Saccharomyces cerevisiae S288C: one gene and its partners. The gene in region 4 interacts genetically with the main gene of each other region. Each region holds a gene or a part of one and is shown on either strand. Other genes may lie near its edges. The genes, in order: FPR4, UTR2, PAU10 and CUE3.

The links.
Region 1: mutations in CUE3 (region 4) and FPR4 together harm fitness more than expected from each alone (negative genetic interaction), as found in Saccharomyces cerevisiae (2 studies listed by BioGRID).
Region 2: mutations in CUE3 (region 4) and UTR2 together harm fitness more than expected from each alone (negative genetic interaction), as found in Saccharomyces cerevisiae (2 studies listed by BioGRID).
Region 3: mutations in CUE3 (region 4) and PAU10 together harm fitness more than expected from each alone (negative genetic interaction), as found in Saccharomyces cerevisiae (2 studies listed by BioGRID).

The regions. Positions count from the first base shown.
Region 1 is NC_001144.5:1,028,734-1,032,521, reverse strand, and holds FPR4 (peptidylprolyl isomerase FPR4), read right to left. Parts: upstream 1,689-3,788; coding exon 510-1,688; downstream 1-509. Other genes in the region: 60S ribosomal protein eL6 RPL6B, read right to left, coding at 2,754-3,269, 3,654-3,668. UniProt on the Saccharomyces cerevisiae protein: PPIase that acts as a histone chaperone. Histone proline isomerase that increases the rate of cis-trans isomerization at 'Pro-17' (H3P16), 'Pro-31' (H3P30) and 'Pro-39 (H3P38) on the histone H3 N-terminal tail.
Region 2 is NC_001137.3:76,032-80,081, forward strand, and holds UTR2 (chitin transglycosylase UTR2), read left to right. Parts: upstream 1-2,021; coding exon 2,022-3,425; downstream 3,426-4,050. Other genes in the region: YEF1 (NADH/NAD(+) kinase), read left to right, coding at 1-1,400; CYC7 (cytochrome c), read right to left, coding at 3,605-3,946. UniProt on the Saccharomyces cerevisiae protein: Dual chitinase/transglycosylase that plays a role in cell wall architecture. Chitinase and transglycosylase activities are coupled. Required for the polysaccharide cross-linking at the septa and the cell wall.
Region 3 is NC_001136.10:1,521,014-1,524,238, reverse strand, and holds PAU10 (seripauperin PAU10), read right to left. Parts: upstream 991-3,225; coding exon 628-990; downstream 1-627.
Region 4 is NC_001139.9:300,869-305,476, forward strand, and holds CUE3 (Cue3p), read right to left. Parts: upstream 2,544-4,608; coding exon 669-2,543; downstream 1-668. Other genes in the region: ribosome biosynthesis protein NSA1, read left to right, coding at 1-501; YGL108C (uncharacterized protein), read right to left, coding at 2,781-3,203; RMD9 (Rmd9p), read right to left, coding at 3,465-4,608. UniProt on the Saccharomyces cerevisiae protein: Involved in activation of the ribosome quality control (RQC) pathway, a pathway that degrades nascent peptide chains during problematic translation.

The DNA of each region.
Region 1 (3,788 bases), on a different chromosome or scaffold from region 4:
CGTACAAAATATTCCCTTTGGTACTCCACCTCTTCAAGATGTATCTGTGTGGTAGGTTCTTGAGGTGATTTAGAAAACGGCCTTCTGATATGTTTGACTAACCCTTGAATGCAACATCTTATTGTTCTCGATTAACTTTTGTCGCGCTGTTGAAAGGGATTCAACAAAACAATGCGCTCGTCTCTAACGATCAATGGTCTATTTATCGTGTAAGTATATATGACATAAACTTTACATATTACGAAGTCATTTTTAAAACTCGAGCTCCTTTTACTCAAAGCTTCTATATTTTACTTTGAGGTCTTCCGATAATTGTATTAGTACTCTCAGCCAATATATGCATCGACAAGTAGCTGGGCGGCTATATCACTAAATAGCTCGCAAAAAAATATTGCTTTTTTATGGCAGAAAAAAACATGTAAAATTGAAAGATAATATTAGTAATGGAAGTATAGATAATTGTATATAGTATTATAGATACATATATCAATACGTATGCATTAAGGACCCTATTTCATGGAGACCAATTTAACATCAAATGTCAATTCAGAGTTAGCAGGAATACCGGGCAAAGCTTGTTTACCGTAGGCATATGGAGCAGGAATGACAATTCTACGCTCACCACCGACCGCCATACCAGCAACACCGATGTCCCATCCTTTAATTACTTCGCCTTGGCCCAACTTAAAAACAAAAGGCTTACCCTTTGTATTCTTGTCAAAAACTTTCCCGTTCTTCAACTTACCAACATATCTCATTCCAACTCTGGTACCCTTTTTGGCATGTGGGCCTTTTCCTGTGACGCGGTCTTCAATGATAATACCGCCTTCCAGTAGCTTCGTCTTTGGCTTTGGTTTGCTCTCTTCCGAGTCTTTAACTTTCTCTGCTTTCTTGTCTTTCTTGGTCGTTTGTTTTTTCTCGGCAGGTTTAGCACTTTCTTCCTCATCTTCCTCATGTTTCCTTTTACTGTCCTTCTTGTTGTTTTTCTTCTTTTCGTCCTTTTTGACTAATTCATCAAGACGACTTTCGATGTCACTAGCATCTACTAAATCATCAAGATCGTCATCACCGGAACTTAGTTCCTCATCGTCCTCTTCTTCTTCTTCTTCTTCTTCTTCTCCATTGGAAGATTCTTCGTCACTGTAATAGTCTTCTTCATCTTCGTCTGAATCTGAAGAATTGTCGAATGGATGTTTGACGTAGTTACCGGTTAGAGAGATAGTGTATGAACCGGTAACGACGAATTGAACGTCTTCCTCTGGTGCAATGGTAATATCCAAAGCTTGTTGATATTGGCCTTTTGGAGATAAGGTTAAAAGAACGCATTCTTCGAATTCATCGTCGATTTCGTTTTCATCTTCAGAGTCTTCTGATTCACTTTGCTCGACTGCCTTACCTTTTTTTGATTTGACACTCCTTTTTGGTACATCTGCTTCTTGTTCACTTTCACTTTCATCCTCTTCGAGGCCGTCATTGTTATCTTGGTTGTAGTACTCACCGCGAGTGAGTTCAGGATTCCTTTTGATTATTCTTAAAGTAGATGGCTTTTTGTCATCGTCAAAGGGCTCAGGGTCGATGGCCGCCATTGTGATTCTAATGGTAACCGGAATTTTGAAGTTCAGAGCTGGGGTTGGGGAGTATGGTTCAACATTCAGGCTATACGTAGCCAATGGAAGCATATCAGACATGGTAGAGACGTATATTTTGTTGTCTTTTTCTTTTTTCTTATCATTCTAACATGAAAAGCACTTCTTTTAACACTGTAAAATTTTCAATGCCCTTCTCTTTTCGATGCACCAGCTAAAATTTTCACTGCCTCGGGTTTGAGATAAAAATATACATAGGGCATCGAAGGCAAGAAATTGAGAAATTTAACGTTCATATGGGTTAATGATTGTATGAGAATGTCTGACGAAGAATATTATTTTTGCTGAAGTTAAACTAAGAATTAGAATTATGACTTGATACACAATGCTACTTTCTTTTGGCCAAGCTATTTGATATAAAAGTATACGTAAATACAGAAAAAGGCAACAGTATGCAGGAAGTTATTCGTAGTTCTTTCGTCACTCGAAATAAAACGTACAACAGACTTAACTTTTACGCGTGTATTAAATATCAACGCACTAATCATACACCCCACTGAGGCAGGTTTAATCACAAAAATGTTGAGATTATTTGCCGCAGCAAACTTTAGCATCTGCACTGTAGTTGCTTCCCCAGCATCCACTTAGTATGGACAAATTGGGTTGTATGTTTACCTTTTACATATATAACATTATCGCTGGCAGGTTACAGAATTTATATGGTGGTTTTGAGAGAAGTTAACACATTGGGAGGACGACTCTGATTATACCTATTGCAATGGCTCGCTAGGACAGCATTTCCTCCACAGAGACTTTGCCTCAGTGCGGTTGGAGTAGACCATGCAGCTTCCAATGTAAATGAATAGATATAGCCTAGTGGCCCAGAACGGCGATGACCTGATCTTGAACCCTTAGATATTAATATTTATGATTTTTTGTATTTTGCTATGTAAGAGAAAAAAAAAATTATAGATACAAAAAGAAGGATATAGAAAAGCACAGATAATGTTGATAGGAAAAATGAATTAGAAGAGGATTAAACTTAGATTACATATCCACTTACCTTTCCGTTATTGTCAAACAGTATTTTCAGATCAACGCATTCTCTATCAATTCTCCTTGTTTTGAAATTCTATTTTAAATCATTTATAATTTTTTCAGTTCAATTTAGAATTTCAATAGGTGTGGCTTGTCACCGTTCTTCAAAGAGAAAGAAGCGGACAAATATTGCTTCAACAATGGGGTCTTCTTGATTTCAGCCAACAAAGCCTTGTCAACAACCTTTTGATCTTCAACACGTTCAGTCTTGATTTCCTTAGTTTGTTGTTCTGGGAACAAGTTAGCTTCCTTCTTTTCCTTCTTGGTCAATTTTTCCTTGGCAAAGTATTCAACGTTGAATTTTTCAACGTTGACACCTTCCACGGAGACTTTGGTAGAGGTAGCAATGACATAACGAGCGTTGACTCTTCTCAATGGAACACCATTGACCTTGAATGGACCAGTGACCAATAGAGTGTTGTCTTCTAGATGTTTCAAGTAGACAACTCTCTTACCTCTGAAACGGCCAGCTAGCAAGATCAAAACAGTGCCTGGAACTAGAGAGGCACGCAACTTTTGTGGGCGAACAGCCTTTCTGGTTTTCTTTGGGGCAGCAACGTCTTCGGAAGGATACCACTTTGGGGCCTATAATTGACATATCGTGATGTAAATCACATATATAGTTAGTATACTACTCGTTTACTTTTTTCTTGCACAATTGATGGTGGGCATGGCGTGTGCTGATTCAGCACAAGGTTTGGTACTATCCTCAAAAAAATTCTTAGCGTAGGAAGAAGTTTACTCAGATTAGCTATAATATGAGTTATTGTTACTATGTTTCTCAGTCATTTGATGCTATATTTTCATTTTTACTAAAATCGTTATTTTCATTTTGTCCAGTTTTGTCCAGTTCATATTTAAAAGGTTAGCTCCCTTCCTGCTTTTGTTCTTGGGTAACTATTTTCCTCTAGGCACGTGTGCCATCTCCATAACCATCACATCCTTCAATTTACTCATCTTTACACATACTTGTTGGGCAGTCATTTCGTTGAATATATTTGCTTCTCTTCCAAGTTCAAGAAAGTAGTCAAACCTAAATGAGATTTTGCTTGAAAATTATCTATTGACTTTTGATCAACTGCCATATTACAGGGCCTCGCGCCT
Region 2 (4,050 bases), on a different chromosome or scaffold from region 4:
GAATGACATCAGTTAAAGTTTTAGCGGAAGGCAAGGTATTAAGCAACTTCGAAGAACCGGGCTTAATGAGGTGCGGTTATCATGATGCAAAAAACTGGGTCAGAAGATTATCGAGCGAAACAATTGTCGGTGAGGACACGAGTAATTTATACCCATTTTATGTTGATACTGCATACGATGTAAGGCGTTTGAGAAAGGATCTTATAAATGCTAAGGTTGACTTGCAGGTTGAAAACCTGATAATAATCTGCAATATTAATGATATTTCCACTGTATTTCTCATGAGAGAAGTGGTGGAATGGATCTTACGCAATTTCCATTCAATAACTGTATATGTACAAGATATTTTTAAAAAGTCAACTCAGTTTGCTGTTGGTGACCTCTGCAAAGACAGCAATTGCAGTAAAAACAGAGTAAAGTATTGGTCAAAAGAATTTGTTAAAAAACACGATTCATTCTTTGACTTGATGATTACACTAGGGGGTGATGGAACTGTCCTTTTTGCTTCATCTATATTCACGAAAGATGTTCCGCCGATTGTTCCATTTGCCCTTGGATCATTAGGATTTCTAACAAATTTTGAATTTCAAAATTTCAAAGAAACGTTGAAACATATCTTAACAGATGAGGTTCGTATTAATTTACGAATGAGGTTGCAATGCAAACTCTACCGTAGAAATAAACCAGAAATTGATGCCGCAACTGGGAGAAAAATATGTTACATCGATTTCATCTCCGAACATCACGTATTGAACGAAGTAACCATAGATAGAGGTCCAGCTCCTTGTTTATCCCTATTAGAACTCTATGGAAACGACTCACTAATGACTAAGGTTCAGGGAGATGGATTGATTGTTGCCACGCCTACGGGATCCACGGCATACTCATTGAGTGCAGGAGGCTCTTTAATATCGCCAAGCGTAAATGCCATAGCGGTGACGCCTATATGTCCTCATACTTTGAGCTTTAGGCCTATAATTTTACCAGATAGCATGGAATTAAAAGTTAGAGTAGATATGAACTCAAGAGGGACGTCGTGGGTGAATTTTGACGGAAAAGATAGAGTTGAATTGAAACAGGGTGACTATGTTGTGATAACTGCAAGCCCCTATTCGGTACCGACTATCGAGTCATCTGCCAGTGAATTTTTTGAAAGTATCAGTAAAAATCTTAATTGGAATGACCGCGAAGAGCAGAAGCCATTTGCACATATTCTCTCGCCAAAAAATCAAGAAAAATATAGATTAGACTCATCGAAAAATGGAAACGACACCATAAGTAATCCCCTCGAGAGTTCATGCATAAGCTCAGATGCACAAGATGAGGAGAGGAAATCCGTAACGGAAACAGAAACAGAAATAGTTGTTGAACGGACTCGTCAGGCTCATTTTGCAATCTAACGATTTCCCACATCCTGCGTTTCCGTAGTCAAGGGTTCATAATGGATGATGAGCCTGTAAACAGCTTTGTATTTACCTCTTTTACTTCAAGAATGCTCTTGCGTCGTTTGCAGTGTCGAAGAAGATCCAGTAGAGCTATACAAAATGGAGAAATGAAACAGTTGAACCAGAGCGCCGCATTTGGCAGGTAGTTTCGCTAAATTTCCTCATGCGCGTTTGTAATTATGCTAGTTAACCATATGATAAGGTTGCCTAACTTGCAGTCACCGGAAGGTTATTTCCGGAATGGTGCAGAATAATTTTTAAAATAGTAGCATATATTTCGTTCCAATTCCCAAATAGGGAATTATAATTATGACAGATAAATTCCCGATTAGGAAGAAGCGCGAAAATTCTTGAAAAACTTTTTTCAACCTCGAAGAAAATCGTCGTCCTTCGAAGATTTAGTGGGAATCTTCAAGGTGGATAGTTTCCAAATTAAAACTGCAGAAGAGGCTTTTAAAACATGCCTGAGGTATAAAAAGAACAACATTCCTGGTGATTATGGTTTCTGTTGGACCCTGTTCCCTTTGTAAAACTTCTATTTATTGTCCTGCAAATAAGCTAATTATATAATTAATAATGGCAATCGTTAATAGTTGGCTAATTTGTTTAGTCAGTATTTTTTCCTTCGTGGTACGTGTAGAGGCCGCTACATTTTGCAATGCAACTCAAGCATGTCCCGAAGATAAACCATGTTGCTCACAATATGGTGAATGTGGTACTGGTCAATATTGTCTGAACAACTGTGATGTAAGATATTCGTTTAGTCATGATTCATGTATGCCTGTACCTATCTGCAAGAGTTCATCCACTAAATTCAAAGATTATTCCTCTAAGTTGGGGAATGCTAACACTTTCTTAGGAAATGTTAGTGAGGCTGATTGGTTGTATACTGGTGACGTTTTGGATTATGATGATGAAGAAAGTTTAATTTTGGCGATGCCCAAGAACAGTGGTGGTACCGTTCTTTCCTCCACGAGGGCTGTTTGGTATGGTAAGGTCAGTGCTAGAATAAAGACGTCACATCTTGCTGGTGTGGTCACTGGGTTCATTCTGTATTCCGGCGCAGGTGATGAACTTGATTACGAATTCGTCGGTGCTGATCTAGAAACTGCTCAAACCAATTTCTATTGGGAAAGTGTTTTGAACTACACGAATTCTGCCAATATTTCCACTACTGATACATTTGAAAACTACCATACTTACGAATTAGATTGGCACGAAGATTATGTAACATGGTCCATCGATGGTGTCGTCGGTAGAACCTTGTACAAGAACGAAACTTATAACGCCACCACCCAAAAATATCAATACCCACAAACCCCATCCAAGGTGGATATTTCCATTTGGCCAGGTGGTAATTCTACCAACGCTCCAGGAACCATTGCATGGTCTGGTGGTGAAATTAATTGGGACGCATCCGATATCAGCAACCCAGGATATTATTATGCTATTGTCAATGAAGTTAATATCACATGTTATGATCCACCAAGCGATACCAAGAAGAATGGTACTTCTGCTTATGTGTATACTTCGTCCAGTGAATTTTTGGCCAAAGACATTGCTATTACCGATGATGAGGTCATGATGGACAGTGATGAGGGATCTGGCTTGGACCCACATAAGGGAGCTACCACATCTTCCACCCAAAAGAGTTCTTCCTCAACTGCAACCTCTTCCTCCAAAACGTCATCCGATCACAGCAGTTCAACTAAGAAGAGTAGTAAGACTAGTTCCACCGCTTCATCATCATCATCATCATCTTCTTCTTCTTCTTCTTCTTCCTCTACTGCTACTAAGAACGGAGATAAAGTCGTATCCTCCGTATCCTCTTCCGTCACTTCCCAAACTCAAACAACATCTTCTGTAAGCGGAAGCGCCTCCAGCAGTACAAGCTCAATGAGCGGTAATAACGCAGGTGCCAACGTAGCGGCAAACTGGCGTTTGACTGTTTTATGTGTCATCCTAGGTTATGTCTTATAGGAGGATCTGCATCTAAGAACAAATAGGCTACACAGGACTCTCAAAAAAAAATGTATTAATAAATAAAAGAACTTAAATATAGACTTTTTATTCGCATGCATATAAAAATAATTAATTAATAAATAACTGTAAAAAACTAGAATAATAAAAGTAATAAATATCTCCTCCGACGACATAGCCTATTTGGCAGCCTTTGTCATATAAGTAATTAAATCGTTTCTGTCCTTTTCCTTCTTCAACCCGGCAAACGCCATCTTGGTACCAGGAATATATTTCTTTGGGTTCGTCAAGTACTCGGACATACTATCCTCATCCCATTTGACGTTCTTGTTGATGTTTGCATCTGTGTAAGAATAACCCTTTACCTGACCTGAATGTCTACCAAAAATACCATGTAAATTAGGTCCAACTTTGTTAGGACCACCCTCTTCTATTGTATGACACTGCTGACACCTCGTTTTAAACAATGTAGCACCCTTTTTTGCAGAGCCTGGTTTGAATCCCGTACTTTCTTTAGCCATGTTTTGTTTATGATGTAATGTAGTTTACTGAAGTTTACTTAAAGTAATGTGAATAAATGCTTGTATGTGATCTTCTTGTATAAGTCTTTGATTTTGTTTCAACC
Region 3 (3,225 bases), on a different chromosome or scaffold from region 4:
TAACTTATCAGCGGCGTATACTTAAACGGATATTACGATATTGTCTCATCTCACTTCATCTTACCACCCTCTATCTTAGTTTTGGTAGAACACTAACCCCTCAGCTTTATTTCTAGTTACAGTTACAAAAAACTATCCCAAACCATAAATCTTAATATTTTAGGTGTCAAAAAATGAGGATCTCCAAATGAGAGTTTGGTACCATGACTTGTAACTCGCACTGCCCTGATCTGCAGTCTTGTTCTTAGAAGTGACGCATATTCTATACGGCCCGACGCGACGCGCCAAAAAATGAAAAAAGAAGCAGCGACACATTTTTATGGAAAGACAAAGTGCTGCGAAGTCATACGTTTCCAATTTCATTATTGTTTATTGGAAATACTCTGTTAGCTTTATTACCGTCCACGCTTTTTCTACAATAGTGTAAAAGTTTCTTTCTTATGTTCATCGTATTCATAAAATGCTTCACGAACACTGTCATTGATCAAATAGGTTTATAATATTAATATACATTTATATAATCTACGGTATTTATATCATCAAAAAAAAGTAGTTTTTTATTTATTTTATTTTGTTCGTTCATTTTCAATGTCTATGGAAACCCGTTCGTAAAATTGGCGTTTGTCTCTAGTTTGCGATAGTGTAGATACCGACCTTGGATAGAGCACTGGAGATGGCTGGCTTTAATCTGCTGGAGTACCATGGAACACCGGTGATCATTCTGGTCACTTGGTCTGGGGCAATACCAGTCAACATGGTGGTGAAGTCACCGTAGTTGAAAACGGCTTCAGCAACTTCAACTGGGTAGGTTTCCGTTGGGTGGGCGGCTTGGAACATGTAGTATTGGGCCAAGTGAGCTCTGATATCAGAGACGTAGACACCCAATTCAACCAAGTTGACTCTTTCGTCAGATTGAGCTAGAGTGGTGGTTGCGGAAGCAGTAGCAGCGATGGCAGCGACACCAGCGGCGATTGAAGTTAATTTGACCATTGTATTTGTTTTGTTTTTTAGTGCTGATATAAGCCCTACTAGGAAGAAAAAAATGACTGCATATTCACAAAGACAGGCGGTCAAGTCTGCTCTATTTATACAAATTCCTTCACCAGCTGGTGCTGCCCAAACGAGCCACTGACTGACACTCTTTTCTCACCTCAAGATCCTACATATTTCATCTAACACACCTTATCCACCGTAACTATAGAAATGCACCTGTCCTTGAACGATTCGTGAATTCGTCACAAACTTCGTATATGAAGATATGTTTTGCGGCGCCAATGTGTATTCGTATGCGTGCAATGTAAGATCGACGTTATAGGGGCGCCATGTGCCTTCGAAGAACCCTTTTACGTGCCTGTCATATTTCTTTTTCAAGGACCCTCGTTCGGAAGCTATTGTCTTAGCCTATATTAGTATGCTCTAAACGATTGCCGCGGGATAATGTTACAGTTTCTTTTCCCAAGCTGAAGTGAAATAGCAATGATGTACTGAGAGTCGTACCTACCCGTGGAAGCTTACGATGCCGTTCACTATCACTAAGGCATTCGAAATTAGATACCACAATCAAGAATGAATGCGATATATAAACGAGGTAGCTACAGTTAGCTGCACATGTTTCTCGAATAGAGTTAATTGATGTTAGGGTGAATTGAATCATGTGCCAAGGTTTTGTGTAATGAAACATCTTCGATACCCGGGTACCATTTTTCTTGTTAAAAAAAAAAAAGAAAGAAAAGAAAAGAGTACAGAGGCCAGTGGATGGCGCTAATATTTTTTATTTTACGTTTTGAATCTTCTGTTGAATAATTTCATCTATGTGCTTGGTTCTTGCAACTGTTAAACACTTATACCTAGTAAATATTCTGTGGCAGGGGTTGGTAGTGCCTCCTGAATTTATGGGCGCAGTTTAATGCTCAATAACTAGGCAACGCATTTTTTCTGAATCTAAAATGCTATTTAAGTATCGCTCAAAAGAAAACTACAAAATTAGCCCTGTTAAAGAAAAATTCCTCATTCTTGTACATATCCTGCCCAAACAAGCTTCTGTTCTTTCTGTTGGCACTCTCAACGCATTAATCAGCACCACTGCCTTGCTTACCTGTGTTCCATTCTCATATGGAATATCACTAGACTGGAGAATTTCCTCTCGATAGAAAAAAACTGGTTCCACAAGGCAAGGAAGCCTGAGGGTCCGGTGGACCAGTGGAAGTAAGATAGTAGTTAAACAAAATAACATGCAATTAAATATTTTCCTTTAATTTTTAAGTCAGTGTGACCCAATAAGAATAGCTTTAATTTTTTACTTCTTTTGGTACCTAATATTTCTACTTAAAATACTTCCGATGGAGACGCATAACTTGTACTTTTGTCAAGGAAAAGATATAATTAGCACTTGAGCAAGCAATACTATCATTTTTTTTTTTGAGACATTACTTCAAGTTGACTCTTTTGAAACAGATCTTTTCTCCAACTTACTCACGAACATTGCCTAAAAGACAACTAATTTCTCGTCCAAAGCTGATAAAAGATGAATATGGATTCAGCATAAGCGGATTAAAGTAGCAATATCTGCTTAAGTTGACTTCGCTATTACTCTCACGGGTGTAACACTATTCTGTTTCACGAATGGCGCTTACGATTTTTCAAAATTACCTTGGAATGTGTCACGTTGGGCATTTTTAATTATTGTGCTGCATAAAGGTGCCTATTTGGCAAGTTTCTGTGCGAAAAACACTAGTATTGAATGTTTTCGTGATGCTTTATTGACACGTGAGAAGGGAAACTTTTTTTAATACGATAGCACATATATTAACCACATGAAGGCACTTGCATCATCTGCTTAAAGCAGATTAGAGGTCGTATTTCTAACCTTTAAAGGTACATTCTGTTTGAATCATGAATATATGTAGTTGCGTAAGTTGTTTAAGACTCTAGAGCCAACGAATTTCTGCTTTTGAATCATTACGGAATCTTAGAGTGTTATACGACATTATTAAATACAGCAACAATGGCCAGTCGCACAATTTGATTTCTAAGTTACAATAAATGGACTGTAAAAATTCACACAAAAGACTTTCTTGCCCTCCTTCTTTCTTGATTTGTTCAAGCCTCTTTTATTTGCATATACTTTTTGTTTATGTTCTATAGCCTAAATTGTAATCCACTCTATCTATTTTGGGTGCCGCAGCGAACATGCATGCGATCGTACATTTTGACTATTATGGTAAA
Region 4 (4,608 bases):
CCTAACCGTGAACCATTATCTCAGATGGAAGTTTTTGATGCCAAGGGAGAAAATGTTGTCTCTTCGTTGGGGAATTTTCAATCTGAAACCTTTAATGAACTGAATGTGATTACTACTGACTACAAAAAGAATGTTTTTAAATTCGATGGTAATGGAAGAATGTTGGGCAAGGTGGGTAGAGATGATATCACTGGTTCGTCAACCTATATTCATGTACATGACGGCAAATATCTTTTACAAGGTGGTTTAGATAGGTATGTTCGGATCTTCGATATAAAAACTAACAAAATGCTGGTGAAGGTTTATGTTGGGTCCCGTATAAATTTTATTGTTATGCTGGATGACGTTGAAATCGAGATGCCACTAAGTCCAAGTGCGAAAGCTGCCAAAGGGAAGCAAAAAAGGAAGGTTACAGAACTTGAAGAAGACGCAGATGAGCTTTGGAATAAATTGGAGGGAAAGGTAGCTGCTTCTAAAGCCAGTAAGAAAAGCAAAATTTAATAGTAAAGGACGCTAATTGAAGGCAAAGTTTTACTAGTCGGCGGGAAAAATTATTAAAAAAAGCACTTCCTGAACGCGACGCTGAATAACTTATAATACGTTACATAATTGTATACCGTCTAGTAAACTTACATACGCTTGTCTATCTTGTATGCTGATGCATTTTATCAAATAGCGTTATTTCCCGCACGAGCCAATTTTTTATCGTGCCCCTTCTTACGGTTATGGTTAGCTCTAGCCCCTTTCCTTTTTTCATTCTTAGCATGCTGTCTTTTCTTCTGTTCAGTAGATTGAGGTTCATGTTTCTTAATATTTTCAGATTTTTTTTGTTTGGCTTGTTCTTTGACGACATTTCCATCATTTTGGCTATCACGATTATGAACATAAGACGTTTTCCCTGTTTTGCTATTTCCTTTGAACATAAACTTCTTTTCTAAAAGTCTTGCTCGGGTAGGAGATCTTTCTAACATCCGACACCAACCTTCGATTTTTTCATCCGACCATGAAGTCATTTCTTTCATAGTTTTCCTGACTTTTGTACCTCTTTTTGATCTCTCAAATAATTTCGGATCCTCTTTCAATAGATTCCACAAGTAAGCTTCAACAATATGATAGTTATGATCTTGTCGCACTTCATTAGAATCATCTTTTGTATCATAGCTTTCTTCGTCTTCTTGAAGTCCAATTCTTTTCGAAGGATCGGACCGGTTCACATCGGCTTCATCATAAGTGTCATCCCTTTCATCTTCATCAGCCTCGTATAAAAGTTTCAATGCTCTTGTCAAAGTTTTATTTCTTAATTCATCCGGAACACCCTCCGAGATAATCTTTTTGTCTAGCTCTTTATTTTTTGAGCTATCTCCTCTATCCAATATACTCAGTTCTTCAGTAAAGGATGCATTATCACCATCTGACACCGGCTCTACTTCTTCCTCCGCAGGTTCTCTGGAGAATGCTTCGATAATGGTAGGATCCTCAAATATTTTATTCGTTACTAATTCAATGTTATTATCATAGGCAAGCAACGTTTGAGATAATTGATATTTAGAAAACTGGGGGAACAATTCCATCAACGCGGACAGTTGTTCTTCATTAACTTCAGTACCTGATGATGTTGGATAGCTCATATGGTCTCCTTCGTCCATTGACAACCCCCCTAAATTCAGAAATAGTAACTTGCTCTTCAAATCAGGAAGCCTTTTGTGGACTCCTTCATTTATGAGCATTGTTCCTAAAAGAGGATATAACGCCAAAGTTTCAAAATTGCTTATGCCTAATTCTTTAGTTATTTTTAGTAAACGATCAGCAGAAACAGAAAATAAACTGATAATGATCAATTCTCTAGCCTCTTTATGACCCCGGCCCTGTCCCTTTGCCCATAATGCCTCTAAAATTTCAATCCAATTTGCCGTAAAGAAGTTCTCCGCAAACTTATTTGGCTGCATGGATTTGGCAGACAGCAGATCTTCAACGCACCTTAAATCTATTCTTTTAAATTTTCCAGATTCTATTAACTGCTTCAAATGCTGTTGAACTTGGTACGATTTGTCCAATTGTACACGTTGCGTGTTGATCCGTGGTTTCAATGAGCCATCGATCAAACCACGAATAGAATCTGGATTACGTCTAACATATACTTTGATCAAATTCCACAGGGAGTCACCAAAAATCTGAAGATGTAATAACCCGCATTTCTTGATCAATGAAAATATCCAGCCTTTTAGTAAATATAACTGTTCAGACACATCATGGTTGATACCGAGACTTAATAACTTTCCTTCCTCATCAGCAATTTCATGCAAGTAAGTTCTCAAAAATAAACGAAGATGATCAAGTGTAGATTCATCTAATAATTCAACGTTAGCACCTTGCATCAAATACTCAAAATACGTTACATAGGTTTCTATTAGATGCAGCCATACTACGGGGTCCTTTTCAATTAATTGAGCTCTGAGTTTAAACGGTGGAAATTTGACAATGGGCAGAGAAATATCTGCATTACCCCCATTTATTTCAATAACGCGGTTGTACCTTGATAACATTATTCTTAGTGATTCTATCCTATAAAAATTTCCAAGATTCAATAGTTAACTCGAATGTCTCTCATTTATGAGAACTAGTGTTTTATATTTTCATTTTTTCTATGGCCGCGCAAAATCCATTGGCAGATATTCAGGTATATAAACGTTACAAAGCCAAGAGGAGAATGGAAGGCCAACAAAAAAATTCTTGTACAATTGCATATATTGATTCATTACAATATTACTGCCGTCGTTCTCTCAGTCATAAATCATGTTTTCCCTTTCCCTCTCAGCATGCTTTTTCTCGGCCTCTTCCATTAAGCGAGTCTTATGAGACTTGGCACGCTCTTGAGCTAGCTTTTTGCCTAACTCGCCCTTATTGTACTTTTCATTCGTCTCTTGAAATCTCTTCTCAGCAGCTAACCTTGCGGCCTCCTTTGGGCTAACTTTATTTTTGCTCGGATCACTTGTATCAGTTAATTTGCTGCCTTCTTTCCTTTGCACAACCGGGACAGTTGTACTCTTTAGTTGTGTCTTCTTCTTTTTATCTTTCTTCTCTTTATGTCGAAGTTCTTGCTTTGACTTGACTGTATCACGATTAATTGGTTTTGTTCTTGCTTTAGTTGCCACCGTCGTAGTTTGTGAAGGCATTGGTTGGGTTTTACTTCCGCAAAGCCCCATACTATGTACTTAAATATTTGTTGTTGTTTGCTGGTGCAAATTTCCTGGATGATGTTAATGATAATTATAGACCGCTTTTATATAGTCTTATGCCTATCCTTTTCATTTTTATTTTTCTAGAGGGAAAAAATCGCTGATTACATGAGGGAAAAAAATATACACATTTCTTGATCATAGAAGATTCGATCTTATATATTATACGTTTAAATGTTTATTTACAAGCATGCATAAATTGAGATGGGGAGAATGAATGCGCTAGTACTATTGCTCCTTAGCAATAAAGCTATGTAGTTGAGGAACAGGAATGTCCTCGGCACTCAAGTCAGAATAACCGCTCAGATACTCATTTAATATTGGGTATGACTCTGCGCATCCAGTGGTATACCTATATACTTGCTTGGTAGCGCGAAAGTAGGGCGTATATCTTTTTAATATTTTCAAGTACAGCTCTATTCTGTCTTCTGAATTCGAAGTAGAATCCTCATTTTTCAAATTTTCCAATGGCTTCGGAACTTTTATGTCGTCTTCTGTGGTCGTAGTCGTTGCTGGTGTTCCTTTAGCTTTTGCAGAAAAGACCTTTTCATCCCTCTTTGATTGTGACCATACGACAGTGGCATCCCTCAAAGCGGACAGATCAGCATTGGCTATATATTGTTGGCCCAATTCATTCAGTTTCTTGACCAACTCCAGCCATCTATCCAGAATCTCTTCATTATTCGTGTTGTCTATGCTTCCCAATGATTTCAGTAGTATTCTATATGATATAATAGTTCTTGGAATATGGTACAAAGTATAGTTTTTATCGATAAAATCGATTATGCTGCGTTCGTGCCAGATAGATGCTCTAGTTAACATAACGTTAAAAAATGGTTCATCAATTTTTTTGACCCCACTGTAAAACGTTATGATTTCTTGAAGCTTACGGAAACCATTGATATTGTCATTAATATAGTTTTCGAAGAATATTGTGAAAAAAGTGTTGTTTAGTGAGGACAAAATTCCAGGATTAACAGTGTTACCATAAAATTTTACAGCCTTTTCCCATATTCTATAAACATGATCAAAATCGTTCTGTGCTTTCCATATATTCTGCAAAAAAGAGTTCACTGTAGAGACTTGTAAAATAATCTTGTATGGCATTTCATCGTTGATAATTTTGTCAAAGAAACTTTCTGCCAACGTTAAATTCTTGGAATCACCAATGAAGCTTAAGTGCGTTTCAATTAAATAACCGTAATTCCTCACTTCAGCCTTTTCACATAATTGGCCGAAGAGGGATAATGCCTTTTCGTAGTCTTCCGCCTTGATGAAGACTTTTATCAGTCCGCTGTAAAGATTGGGATGGATAAATTCTTTGGATTGAATAATTTGGTTATATAGCTCGTTAGGCTCAGTCAGAGAACGC